Xenopus tropicalis: one gene and its partners. The protein of the gene in region 4 purifies or fractionates together with the protein of the main gene of each other region. This does not show direct contact. Links are inferred from orthologs where the notes say so. Each region holds a gene or a part of one and is shown on either strand. Other genes may lie near its edges.

Evidence for each region.
Region 1: the proteins of dicer1 (region 4) and prkra purify together in Homo sapiens (co-immunoprecipitation; 4 studies listed by BioGRID and IntAct, with this or other methods). This does not show direct contact. The link is inferred for Xenopus tropicalis from reciprocal best matches to the Homo sapiens genes DICER1 and PRKRA.
Region 2: the proteins of dicer1 (region 4) and ago3 purify together in Homo sapiens (affinity purification with mass spectrometry; 3 studies listed by BioGRID and IntAct, with this or other methods). This does not show direct contact. The link is inferred for Xenopus tropicalis from reciprocal best matches to the Homo sapiens genes DICER1 and AGO3.
Region 3: the proteins of dicer1 (region 4) and ago1 purify together in Homo sapiens (co-immunoprecipitation; 7 studies listed by BioGRID and IntAct, with this or other methods). This does not show direct contact. The link is inferred for Xenopus tropicalis from reciprocal best matches to the Homo sapiens genes DICER1 and AGO1.

What each region holds. Positions count from the first base shown.
Region 1 is NC_030685.2:64,079,780-64,082,875, forward strand, and holds part of prkra (interferon-inducible double-stranded RNA-dependent protein kinase activator A homolog A), read left to right. Parts: intron 1-600; coding exon 601-682; intron 683-820; coding exon 821-902; intron 903-1,244; coding exon 1,245-1,362; intron 1,363-1,845; coding exon 1,846-1,943; intron 1,944-3,096. UniProt on the Homo sapiens protein: Activates EIF2AK2/PKR in the absence of double-stranded RNA (dsRNA), leading to phosphorylation of EIF2S1/EFI2-alpha and inhibition of translation and induction of apoptosis.
Region 2 is NC_030678.2:81,760,034-81,764,069, reverse strand, and holds the start of ago3 (protein argonaute-3), read left to right. Parts: upstream 1-1,221; 5' UTR 1,222-2,167; coding exon 2,168-2,186; intron 2,187-4,036.
Region 3 is NC_030678.2:81,780,121-81,783,691, reverse strand, and holds part of ago1 (protein argonaute-1), read left to right. Parts: intron 1-24; coding exon 25-158; intron 159-530; coding exon 531-715; intron 716-1,522; coding exon 1,523-1,682; intron 1,683-3,318; coding exon 3,319-3,409; intron 3,410-3,571.
Region 4 is NC_030684.2:88,595,650-88,599,220, forward strand, and holds part of dicer1 (endoribonuclease Dicer), read right to left. Parts: intron 3,335-3,571; coding exon 3,202-3,334; intron 2,886-3,201; coding exon 2,810-2,885; intron 2,181-2,809; coding exon 2,041-2,180; intron 1-2,040. UniProt on the Homo sapiens protein: Double-stranded RNA (dsRNA) endoribonuclease playing a central role in short dsRNA-mediated post-transcriptional gene silencing.

The DNA of each region.
Region 1 (3,096 bases), on a different chromosome or scaffold from region 4:
TTACTCCTAGTAGAGAATGTACCATTAACAACCACCCTCTGTACCCGATCCTGTAGCCAGTTTTCTATCCATGTGCAAATTACTTCACTAAGACCAATAGACCTTAGCTTAGAAAGCAGTCGTTTGTGGGGAACGGTATCAAATGCTTTGGCAAAATCCAAATATATTATATCTACTGCATCCCCACTGTCCAGCTTCTTACTTACCTCATCATAAAAAGCAATTAAATTGGTCTGACATGACCTGTCCTTCATAAAGCCATGCTGATTACTGCTCATAATGGCATTCTCCAGTACATAATTTTGTATGTGATCCCTTAACAAGCTTTCAAATAACTTTAAACTGATCGAGTGTGAGCCCAAAGGTTATTAAATGGGAGCTGCCATATAGCATTCTTCATAGTCCACAACTGAGCCATTCAGTGTGTTTCAGTGACTATATTGGGTTCCCTTGCAAGTTATTTTCTTTGCACCTAATCTGGAAGTTTTTGAGATATATGATTGGTAAACCTGCTGAAATTTTACATTGCCTCTGCTTCAGGTACACAAAACATGTCTTTAACAGGGTTTATGCAGTAAATATTATTTGTTCTACATGTAGGAGAGGGACCAAGCAAGAAAGCCGCAAAACAAAAAGCCGCTGAATCAGCACTGAACATATTACAAGGAAGCACTGGCAAATGGTGAGTAATAAACTGGAAATCTTTTCTATGGTTTCTATACACTGTGTGTCACAATATATTTATTGAGTATTGCATATGTCCTGTCAAGAAGTAGAAATAACAGTTTACTTCCTTCTGCTGTCCTCTCTATATAAACAGCCTGCCTGTAAAGAATACTGTAAGGGATGTGCCCAAGCAACCACTGAATCAGATGAAGGAGAATCCTGTTGGCTCACTACAGGTATTATCATGGGTTTTTTTGCCTCTATTTCGTGTTTGATTCTAATGTTAACGAATGACTGATGTTATTCTCACTCTTGGTCTAAGGGACAGCTACCATATTGGATTCGGACATGGTCGTTATGTACATGTGTATAATGCACGTGTGCATGAGCAGGGCTACCATTACTAATCATGGGGCCCTTTACTACTTAGCAAGGCACATCCCAAGGGTGCCATAGTTGTGGGCCCTGCCAGCAAGTAAAGTAGGACCCCAATGGGAAAAATGGTCACACCCCACCCCTGATCTACTTTTGTATCACTGAAGTGAAAGATCAGAAAGCCTCTGTCTTTGTTCTTGTAGGAGTTATCTGTGCAGAAAGGATGGCGCCTTCCAGAATATACAGTGGCTCAAGAGTCCGGTCCCCCTCATGAAAGAGAGTTCACTATAACTTGCCGTGTGGAAACCTTTGTAGAAACTGGTATGTGTTTTGCTTATAGCATGATAGTGGGGGCAGCACTTATACCCCCACAAAATACAGATTTCACTATAATAAAGCTCTCCGTTTGTAATTGCTGAGAATCCCATTACAATATCAGTTCTTCAGTGCAGCTAAGGACTGATTATGTTTGTGCTTACTTAGATGTCTGCTGGACCTGAGCGTTCTTTTTATACTTCTCCCCACAGAGCAGTTTTAAAAGATAGATGGATGGATGGCTGTGTGTGGGTAGATAGATAAAATCTCTGATCTTTCTTTGCCTTTTCTGTTATTGGGATTGTTGGGAAGTCCCAGAATTCTTGTCCAGATATTTTACACCAAATCTTTGTTCTGCTTTTAGTTTCTCACATACAGAAAGTCTGACCATGTCTTGTTGTACTATATCCAGCATTGGTACCCAATAAGTTTTAGTATAACATGTACTTAAAATTTACACTGCTTAACACTTTTCACTTTTCACAACAGGATCTGGAACCTCTAAAAAAGTAGCCAAGAGGGTTGCTGCAGATAAACTTCTTACCAAACTTAAGGCCATTCCAGTTGATAATATGAATATATCTCTAGTAAGTATGTGTCAATATAAAATAAAAGACTGCAAGCTTTGCGCCTTTCTAATAACCCATAACATTTGAAAGCAGACATAAAATTGGATGCTATGGGTTATTTTACTGGGCAAACGTTGCCCATGCTACTAAGTCTCCCACTAGAATCTGATGTAGAACACTTGGCCTGATTTCTGTCTGTAGTATTAGGTATGTGGTGCAAATAGGGTTCGTGACCTTTAGGGCAGTGGCAGATGGGGACGTTAGTGGCCCCGCGACAAATCTTTGTTGCCGCAGGCGACTAACCTTCCCGCAATGCCATCCCACCGGCAAGAATGTAAATCGCCAGTGGGATGGCATACGTGTCGCTACAAGAGGAGGGGCGATGCATGTGTCATCCCACCGGCGATTTACATTCTTTCCAGTGGGGTGGTATTGCTGGGAGATTAGTTGCCCACGGCAACGAAGATTTGTCACGGGGTGACTTATCTCCCCATTTGCCACTGCCCTTATATTGCTGTTAGGTTGAACCACATTGACTGCAATGTTCCTCTGTATCAGCTGCAGCTTCCAATTAACTTTAGTGGGAAGTGTGCTTTGACAAACGCTATTACTGTCCAGGGGTGGTTCAGTTTCTGGTTAACGTTTAGTACAGTATATTATAGCATGGTCTATTCTTAGTAACATTTTTTTTATTGGTCTCCATTTTTTATTTTTCATAGTTTTTGAATTATTTGCTTCTTCCGACTCTTTCCAACTTTCAAATGGGGGTCACTGACTCCAGCAGTCAAAAACTATTGCTCTGTGAGGCTACAATTTTATATTTTACATTACTTATCTTTCTATGTAGGCCCCTCTCTTTATTTTCTATTCTCATATTTCTGTTTCTTTTACAAGCCACTGCCTGGTTGCTAAATTATTCAAAAAATGCAAATAATAAAAAATGAAGACCAATTGCAAGTTGTCTCGGTAGCCTTCTCTACATCATACTGAAAGTTAATTTAAAGTTGAACAATCCCTTTAAGGGACATATCAAGAGAAACATACACCATTTTTTTACATGAGCTCATTGAGTTGGGCCTATGTAGAAAAGGGTGCTTAAACACAGATATTATTAAAAAAGTATTTTTGTTTTTTTACCTGCCAAGTTTTTCTGGCGTCTCCTTTTCTTTGA
Region 2 (4,036 bases), on a different chromosome or scaffold from region 4:
CAGCTGCTTCCGGTTACTGCAACAGTCGCAGACATCGCACATCTTTCAAACGCTCCAGGTGGCATCCCATCCAGGCCCGATCAGCCCGCCCCAAAGTATGGTCATGTGACAAGGAAAGTCCGTTCCTGGGCGCACACACACACACACCAGAATTATGCCTAAGCACACAAAAACCTGTCCCCTCAAAAAAAATTCAGCCATCCCCTAAAATTATGCAACACACCAAAAATGTAAGCAAATTCCAAAACTCATCCCTATAGCTCACACATTTGCAGCACATCCACCCACCTTCACCTGAAAATGTCAGAATACACAAAAAAAATAAAAAACCCACTTCAATAAAACAAAAATACACACACTTAAAAACTTAAGAGCATCTATTACACCAATAAATAAAACCACTTGACACATAACCCCTTATATTAAGGGCACACACACCATACAGAGACCAGCAAGTGTACATACAGCTATAGCCAGCAACAGCAAGTGCATCTTTTTTCCAAATGTACAGATAGATCCCACAAGGAAAAGTGAATACAGATTTTATTCTACACCTACAAAAGCGAATCATTTCAACTCAAAAGAGCTAAAAGCACTTCCTGCGTTCAGTGAAGTGTTCTTCTCCAGGCATCCACCAGTAACCACTAAGAGCTGGACTGTGTTCTGTTTATATAGCCAAGTGAAGAAGGCGCCTACTAGGCTCTAAATGTCCTAATAGAAAAAAAAAAGCCACCCCCAAAATTATCTAACTCTCCAAAACTCTTCCCCATAGCTCAGAATTGTGCAGCATGTCAACATAACCGAAAAAAAAATCAAAACCCCAAAAAAAAAACCAACAAAACGCACACCCCAAAACTCATCAGCACCCTTAAAGCAAGAAATACAAGCACTCCACATATAAGCAGGCTCCAACAACCCCCTAATATTAAGGGCACACTCCTTACAGAGAATAGCAAGTGTGTAAAAGATCCACAGCCTCCACTGAACAGCAAGAGCCCCAGTATTCAGGCAAGAACTGAATAAACTCCTGCATTTAATCCTATCCCAAGAAAACAAATAATGCTTCCCAGCGCAACCCAATACTCACTCAATAGCACGCTGTGCCACTACCTTTAACAAGCCATTCTCTCCATAGCATCCCCGAGTAACCACTGAGGAGCGAACTCACCCATAAGCTACTTATACAGGCGTTTGAAGAAGGCGCCGAATGTTACGTGTTGGAGACGTCGCCACGTCTTCACGTGTTTGTGATGTCACTCGCCATTAGCAACTAGGAACTAGCAGCTACCGTTACTCCCGGCGTCATGTCCGGCCTGAGTGGGAGGGTGCAGGCATCAGAGTCTCACTCCTCCTCAGTAGTGGAGGAGACAGGAGGACCGGGCGAAGTCAGTGGCTGCTGCTCCATCAGAGGCAGATAACATAATTTGTTTGGCTGACGTGGACGGAAAACTTCACCAATAAACTCCTAGCTGTTGCCCTGTCAACAGGAGGACCCCCATACTCCTCGGCAGCCAATAGCGACCAGGTGCTCTTACTCCGCTGAGGTGTTGGAAGAAGTCAGCCAATCGCTTGTTGGCTTTCATTGAAAATTAACACTCTGGCAAAAAGGTAACCAATCAGGGGCGGCAGTGGGGTGCACAAGAAGCTCTCACTCCGGTCGCTGGAGTATGAGTCAGCCAACCAGCTTTTGGGGTTCCCCACTCAGGCCAGTGTGGTGGAAGTAAGCGATGAGGACTTGGAGGTGACTCAGCCAATCACCAAGGCAACCGCCATTGCGCTGCTATCCATTCTCCCCTCCCACTTGTTCATTCCAGCCAATTGCTGCTCAGCTGTCAAGCTCTTATCACAAACTCCTGTTGTGAAAACAGGCAGCCAGGTGACTAAATCCCCCCCAGCTGTGGAGTTGTGTGACAAGCCAGCAGGAGAAGCCAAGAGAGAGCCCCATTCTTAGAGTGACTACTACACTACACTGCCAACTAGCTTTCCTCTATCTGCCTGCAAAAGCTCAGTGCCATTGGTTGTTGGTGGCTCAAAAGGGTCTTGTCTTTGGGGGCAGTAGGCCCCAGTGCTTAGGGTACTCCAGGAGACAAGAGGAACTCTTTGCCATCTCTTTTCTACTCCTCATTGGGAGCTACAGATTCGGTGAAGCGTCCATTGACCTCCATGAATGGAAATCGGAACCGCAGGTGAGGAATAGTTTGCTGTTCTGTTAACTCAACATTCTGTCAACAGCATTCTGCATTCTGGAACCTCTGGAATTGATTTGATAGTGTATAGTGGTAATGTCTAACTGTTGCAGAGGTAGCTGTGGAAAGATTAGCAGAGTGTAGTCCAACAGCTTGAGGAAAGTTAGACTTTTTTTTGGTGCTGCAACTATACCCCATTAGTCCCTGTCATTTCTCATTTTTTTCCTGCTAAATACACATCCAACAAAGGGGCATTGCTTGTTTTTCTCTTTTTTTTTCCAAAATGTATTGTTGCACTTAATCATTTGGCTATAGACTGTGTATTGAACTGTAGGTAGACTACAAAATGCTTCTTTGTTTAAACCCCATTGGAAGCATTGCAAATAAAAAACAAGTTGCCAAAGTGTTACCTGTGTTGGATAACTGACATAAATAAGTATTTCCTTTCCTTAACCATGATTGTCAGTAGTCCATTAATAGTCAACTTGGCACCATAATAACAAATATATAGTAGTTGTCTTGTGCCCTAGCGCTAGCAAAAGATTCACCACAGCTGTAAAAGTCTCCTGCTTCCACTTTCCTTTGCATTTATGCTGCTGATTGTTGAGAACAAAGTAATGCATCAAATAAGGCAGTGGTTCCCAGACTGTGGAGCTGATGCCACAAGGGAAGGGGGTGTTTCATGACCTGTATAAAAGCTCTTGGCCTTCAGCCTCATTCTTTTATATGTATGTATATATGGTCCTAAAACCTATAATATGCTTATATTACACATTTTTCACAACATATAATGCAGGAATGCTACTCCTCTTCACTGCCTTTCATCTGACAAAATTGTCAATAATCCAAGTCCAATAATCCTTAATCTACCATATGCCTGATCTAGCCGTTTAATACAGCTTTTCTGTCAACTGTACAATTGCTAATTAAGGGGTTCTCTCTATATTTGTACATATAATTGCTATTAAGTAGTATTTGACGGTTTGTATTCTCTGCACTCTTGGCCCTGACTCCTGAAAAGACCTTTGGGGACCTAATTTCAGTTACATTGTTTATTCCTTTATGTTTTCTGGGTCTGATTCTTAAAAACAAACACTGATTTAATGTTTAGTTAAGGTCCCCTTTACCACTTTCACTGGCAGTGTATTTGTTGTACTTCTATTGACGGTTTTTGAACATTTTGTGCTCCTTCATTTTAGGGGCCTTTACTGGGGGTACTTAAGTTTATAGGTTTTAAAATATGCTAGAATGTTGGTATAATTTCATTTCTGTAACAAGATATATCCTTCTAAATAGCTAAAAAATAAAAAAAAATCCATAATGTAAACACATATCAGAGACATCATTTATTTTATGCAAATAAATACAACTGATTTGGAAAGTACCATGTACTGAACATACCAATACCAAATATTTATAGTTTTATGGAGTTTCATGGATTTCTCACCCAAAACTTTCATTGGTACACTACCAAATTTCAAAGCACTGGTCCAGAAATCTGCATACTTCAGATTTCAAGGCCAAAAATTTGACTAACAGTAGGTTCACCCTAGAAAACCATGCATTTTTGGGAAGAACAAATTCTGATGAATCCAAAATTAGTAAATATGTCTCTTTACTCCAAACTACCAAGTTGCAGTGCTTTCCTAGAGTTATCAGTTTTTAATTTTTTTTAAAAAATTTCCTCAAAGCTTCCATTTGCAGAATCTTATCTCACACATGATGGCCAATGTGTATAGGTTTACCAAAGTATGTGGTATGTAGGGGCCCCAAGATGAAGACACTCCATATGGTCAATCATTTATGTCACTTCAGCTACTGTGAGAAGAGTAAAGCTACAAAAAAGTTTC
Region 3 (3,571 bases), on a different chromosome or scaffold from region 4:
TTAAAACAAATTTGTTTTTTGCAGAACAGAGCAATTGCAACTCCAAACCAAGGTGTCTGGGACATGCGAGGAAAGCAGTTCTACAATGGCATTGAGATAAAAGTCTGGGCAATTGCATGTTTCGCTCCACAGAAGCAATGCAGGGAAGAAGTGCTGAAGTAAGTGCAAAGGCGAGGGCTGCTGCAAAATTTTCTGTTCCAAAACTTACTCTATCTTTTAATATCAGAAAAAACATATAGCTGTTTAGCTTTAACGTTATCATTGTTGCCTTGTAAACTGTCTTGTGTATTGAGAAAGTGGCAGTATACCTTTACATTTTTCCTCATTTCTTTATTAAACACACAGGGCAGGGAGTGACTTTGCCCCATGGGTGAGCTTAGGTGAGGTTTGGCAGCCCTAGTGGCCCATTGCATCCGATCAGGTTACTTGTAAATGTTAACTGCTAATTGGTTGCTGTGAGTTATTAGCCATGGCACAAACAAAAAGGGTAACTATTTTTTGATCCTGACTTCTGTTCCCTCCCATTCCAGAAATTTTACCGACCAACTCCGCAAAATCTCAAAAGATGCAGGAATGCCAATCCAGGGTCAGCCATGCTTCTGTAAATATGCACAGGGGGCAGACAGTGTGGAGCCCATGTTCCGGCACTTGAAAAACACATATTCTGGCCTTCAGCTCATCATTGTTATTCTGCCAGGGAAAACACCTGTATATGGTAATTATCAATTGAAAATTAAAAAGCTGCTGTCTCACTAGTACATTTTAGGGTGGGATGGGAGATGAAAGGTGGTGGGTGACAGACCCTCCACAAAAGTAACAAGTGGATCACCAATGGAAGCGTATTCACTTACTAATTTATAGGCTTTGGTGAAGGTAGTCACCAGCACTTGTAACCTTGCTTTTGTGTCCTCTATATATTTGGGGTTCCACACTAGCGTGGAACCACTGAAGTGGCCAAAGTGACCTTGTATAATCCATGGCATTTGTCTGACTTAAGAAAATAGCACATTTATATTTTAGAATAAATACTTTCCTTTAGTAGGAGATAAACTACAACATTTGCATGAAGCTAAAATGTATATTCATAAAATGTCAGCAATATAATATAAAGCTTCAATTTTTCCACTCTGGTCCTCCAAAATAGAAAAGCAATCTAACCATTTACACCACAGGCTCTATATTTTTTTTGTAGAATGAATGGTTTTCAGTGGGATGACTCTATTCAGGGCTAGCATGATTACACTATTCCCGTTTACACGTATTTTTATACAAATTGATTCCACCACCTAAGCCTGAGTTAGCTGCTAAATAGGACTATTTGAGAAAAAAGCAGTGATTACGCCCACTTTCCCTTCTTTGTGTTTTAAGTAGAGCCCAACAGAGTTTAAAGACTGCCTGCTTGTGGCTTGTTCCTGTCCTCAGTGCTGCAGTCAGGAAATAGTTCTCTGTGGAAGACAGTGTAAGCTTGGATGGTATATATTGCTTAAAATAAGGTAATGATAACTTTTTTTTTTCTTTTTAGCGGAAGTGAAACGTGTTGGGGATACATTGCTTGGGATGGCCACTCAGTGTGTGCAGGTGAAAAATGTAGTTAAGACTTCTCCTCAGACGCTCAGCAACCTCTGCCTGAAGATCAATGTCAAGCTGGGTGGTATCAACAACATTTTAGTACCTCATCAACGGTGCGTTATCAACGGTGCATTTTCTGCTGTGCACACAGTGTGATAGCAGTTTTTTTTGTTTTGTTTTTTTTTTACTCCCTTCACTTTAAGGGCTCTGGCACACGGGGAGATTAGTCGCCCGCGGCAAAACTCCCTGCTCGCGGGCGACTAATCTCCCCGAGTTGCCTTCCCCCTGCCATCCCACCGGCGAACATGTAAGTCGCCGGCGGGATGGCAGACGCGGCGGCGCGATTTCGCGCAAATCGCCAAAATGGACTCGCGAGCCTTTTTCGGCGATTTCCCAAAATCGCCCCGCCGCGTCTGCCATCCCGCCGGCGACTTACATGATTAGTCGCCCGGGGAGATTAGTCGCCCGCGAGCAGGGAGTTTTGCCGCGGGCGACTAATCTCCCCGTGTACCAGAGCCCTAATAGCCATGTGGTTTTTCAGTTCACTTAACTGCACTGAGGGTGAAACTAGAACTACCATTATTACCATTTATTATATTGGAACTTTCGTAACATTTCTACCTGGTATTATATAGCGCTGACAGTTTTCCGCAGTGCTTTTACAGAAATAATATGTCATTCACATGAGTCCCTTCCCCAGTGGAGCGTAAGGTCCCAATCAAATTCAAACACACAGTAGGGTAAATTTTATCAGGAGTCAGTTAACCTGCCTGTATGTTTTTGGAGTGTGAGAGCAAACTGGAGTATTCCGAGGAAACCCACGTAGTTACCTGTTGCTGGAAACAAATTCAGGACCCCAGCACTGCAAGGCATCTGGTGTAAATTTCATGTCAATAGCCTCATTAGAAATATATTTACTGAGAAAAATGTTGACGTGTTCAATACTTATTTTCCCTGCTGTATATCCTATACTACTTATTTTAACCAGCCTTGTTTAGTTTCCTTAAAATGATCATACTGACATTGTCATCGGGACACATACTTTACTAACAAATTACTACAGTGGAAGTATACTTTCTGAACCAGCATGCCATATATATCCTATATGCCAACATAACCAAACTTATTTCTGTTAAAATGGAGTCTATTGGAGATAAGCTTCCCATCATTTGGAGCTTTCAGGTTATTGGGTTTCTGGATAAGAGATCCTATACCTGAATTGTGTTTGTGTAAAATTGCATGTGGCTGATTTTTCTTATTATTTTATTAGTTTGATAGTAAATGATACATTTTCAAAAATTGTGTGAATTGTTAAATGCATTAAAGCTTTTATTTTAAAATCCATAAAAAGTCTTTAAACAGCCCCCAATAATGACACACTTCTCTCCCAACGTTGAATCTGAAAAAAGCTGAAAACTGCAGCTAAAGATCGGTTACTTTCTTACGTTTTATTATACATATAATATAAAAGGCTTACTTACCGTATCCTTTAAAAAGGGGCCTAATATTAAACCTTTATATTTGAGGTTGGCATTGAGATAAATAGGAGGTATATATTTGTAATACAGATTCAATAGAACATACTATATATTTTTTTTTAAATTCATACCTGCTGGGGTCAAAACAGTCTCTAGAAATACCACTGCAGTTGGTAGCCAATAAAAATATGTTTTAGAAGAACAGTCACAGGGATCTTTAATGTGAAATTAGTCTAAATATTCAGCTTATATATTTTAAACATCTCAACAGGTCTGCGGTCTTCCAGCAGCCAGTTATATTTCTTGGAGCAGATGTTACACACCCACCTGCTGGTGATGGCAAGAAGCCCTCTATTACTGCGGTAAATCACAGACTGGAATGGGGGGGGGGGATAAGGATTGCATTAAAAGATACCACTGCATTGCAAACTATCTATGTAAATGTTTGAGTGTCTGAAAAGCTTTTTTTTTTTTAAGCAGATATATATAGTGTTTTGTTCTTGGTCCTAGAGCCAGTCTGTTCA
Region 4 (3,571 bases):
GAAATAACCCACATATACACCACTGTTACAGCATGCAAAGTTAGCGCTATAAAACCTACTGGATGAACTGTAGTCTACAGGAAATTTGAAAGGAGAACACTTGATGTGCAAGTTGACCCAAAAGCCTCGGAGATGCAGACAATCTCCTCTAGTCACAGGTTGCAAACCTAACTTTTGTCTGAGTGTTTCCCCTCTGGTGATGTCACATTGTATATTCTGCCCTCTCTGGCAATGTCTCAGTCTATTCCCCACTTATCTATAGCAGCAATGGAAGGGGCAGGTTGGGAGAAGGCTTTAAAAACTATGAGAACTGCTCAATCGAGGAAGTAAACTCCTAATCCGTGCATAAACCAGATGTCAGGAGAACTTTGTCTATTTCCCAGAATTATTTCTGATTTGCTTTCAAATAAATACGGGGTCATCTCAATCTAAATGAAACCATCCCACAACCATGCACTCCTTGCGTAAAGAACTTTGTAATTTAGACACTATGGGCCCGATTCACTAAAGTCCGAAATAAGGAGTGCTATTTATAGCATGCGTTAAAAATCTTATCACTTCTTATTTTTCGCTCGATTCACTAAAAGGACACTTGTCATAATTAAGAAGCGATGTTCTTGGCGTTATTTATCTTGAGACGACATATTTTCAAGCAATATATTACGCAGCGCACAACATATTACGCAGCACGTTGCTTGAAAATATGTCGTCGCAAGATAAATAACGCCAAGAACATCGCTTCTTAATTATGACAAGTGTCCTTTTAGTGAATCGAGCGAAAAATAAGAAGTGATAAGATTTTTAACGCATGCTATAAATAGCACTCCTTATTTCGGACTTTAGTGAATCGGGCCCTATGTTTTTGTAATTTTATTTCTTCTATTAAATGGTGGTGTATATGCATGCTACTTCCCATGTATATGTTTTTCAATTATGCCTGAATAAACATTCTAAACAGTCAGCTTATTTGTAAGGACTGAACATTTGGTGAGGTCTACAAACATGCATATCTTTCCATGATACTCCCACTTTGAGCTGGGAAATAGACTGATCTGATCATTTTGCCCTTGGGCCAATGATTTGATCATAATGGTCACCAATGCAAGTCCTCAGGACAGGATCACATTAATGTGCCAATGCATACAAGGGGCAGAAGGACAAAGTTGTCAGCTTTATCAACCAATGTATGACCACCTTTACAGTTGAGGCACACCTAAAACTATGTAAAGAAATAGTGATGCTATAAAGTGAATAAAATTTATACATACTTTTTTTTACATGTTTGATTCCCAGTACCTACAAAAACTATTTGGCATCAAATGTGCCATTTTCTGGAGGTTTTCATACAGTAGATCTGCTATGTAAACATGAGCCCTAAAGACCACTTTCAGCTTGATTATCTACATCGCCTAGTTTATTTCTCTTAACTGTAGTCCACATACATACATAGTACAAAGCATATGTATGCTACTATTACAACAGATACTGCAGATGTGAATGCCAGATTGTTTTATGTCACATAATGCCTCCAGCACTGAAGACAAAGAATAATGTAACTAATCACAAAGTATGTCAGACTTGAGGGAAAAACTTTATAGTTTTTGCTGTGTAATTTTTTTTATATTCATTTGTACCATATATTTATAAGAGCCCCCATGCAGCAGACTGAATTTAATTCCCTTAATTCTTAAGCAGGTAAAATGTTTGTTTGTCTCTTATGGTTTATTATTAAAGGGGTAGTTCATCTTAAATTAACTTTTAATATGATGTAGACATTGATATTGATATTGGTTTTCCAGTTATTTAGTTTCTTTTAGTTTAGCTGGAAAGAAGCAGATGAGAAAGGTAAATAATTGGAAAACTATAAAAAAATAAATAAAAATCAACTGCGAAGTTGCCAGGAACAGGGCATTCTATAACATACTAAAAAAATTTTAAAGGTGAAGCACCCCTTTAAGTTCCAGATCAAAATGCCATTGCACAGTAAAATAAAATTACCCAAACCATCAAAGTTGGCGATAAACAATCAACCACACTCACAGCTTTTGGATAACACTGCCTTCTTTTTGTGGATCCTGGTCTGCCTGGAACACTGGTTTCTTCCTCATCATGCAAATCAAGCTCCTCCTCATATTTTACAGTTTCCTTGCCAACTGGCATTAAATGATCATCCAGTTCACCTTAAAATAAAAGAACAAGAACACAATGACATTATTAAGCAGGCAATTCCACCAAAGAAACTAAATGTGCAGGTTTATTTAAGTGTCACTCAGCAATGTCAAATTAACCCTTTAACTGCCAGCTTCTACTGCCAGTTTAACATTTTGCACTGTATCACTTTAGGGGTCTTTCCCCAGGGGTGGGGGGGATTTTAGTTTAACCAGGAAAACAATATATAGTTTTTTTTCAGGACAACCTAAGCTTTTAAAAATATTTTAAAAGCTTAGTCGCTGGACCGACATGCCAGCCCCCTTGGCTCGTTGGCGAGGGGGCACAGCTGACTCTCTGCTTTTGCCACCGGTGCAGAGAGAATCGCATTAGTACCAATAACGTTGTACAGTTTTCTCTGAAAAGGCAATATTTTCCATTGGGGGATGCCTAACATTTTGGCCATTCTTGTCCTTTAAGTGTGGCACTGCTAATTGGGCATACTACATTAGAATCCTTCACTGAGTAGGCTGTAGTGGAAGCAGCACTTGTCACAAGGAAAGGGATAAAAATGGTTCAGGAAGCGGACACAGAAATTTTCATGCCACAAACACTTATTGGAACTGACCTTTTAATTTCTCTCTCATAGGAAATTACTTACCAATTTCATGTAGTTTTTTACAGCATATAAGAGCTACAGCTCTATCAGCTAGCCTTCCACAATTCATCGGAGGGCCCTAGAAACATTAAAATGTTTTCAGAGAACTGCTTCAAAAACTTGTGGTTTGATATGAGAAATGATCCTATTCAAAGATATGACATGCCATATTCTAAATAAAAGAAACAAGGCACAATGTTTAGCAGTCCCCTTGATAAACTCTAAATATCCAAGAGGTGCATTACTAATTTAAATAAAAAAGTTCCAGCGAAATGCATTAACCTTAAAACTGGTACAGAATATAAAAAAAAAAATCACCGTTTCAAAAAGCTGATTAATAGTAGTTCATCAACTAAGCCTTGTGGTTGGTAATATCATTCTTACCAAGTACTTACAACAATGGGGGCTCTAAGTGGAGAATTAATTGGCAGGTAGAGTGTTGAGCGATAAAGTCCATCAGGGAACTCTCGTGTTTTGCACTTAGGAGCAAGATGAGTAAATGGGTCACTAGGTAGCCTAGCACAGTACCTTTAAGAGAAAATACAAATACTGTATAGCTGAAATCAATTGAAACAGCCTTACACAGTGCATTTCTAAAATTCTTTTCCCAATACATTAATAAATTCAAATATAAAAAGGTTGACTGTCTAAAAAAAAAAAAATTATATATCTCTTTCTCTCTCTCTCTCTATCTATCTACACACGCACATACATATATATTTATTTAGACTTACTAACCGGGTAAACAAACAGACTGATATTGTT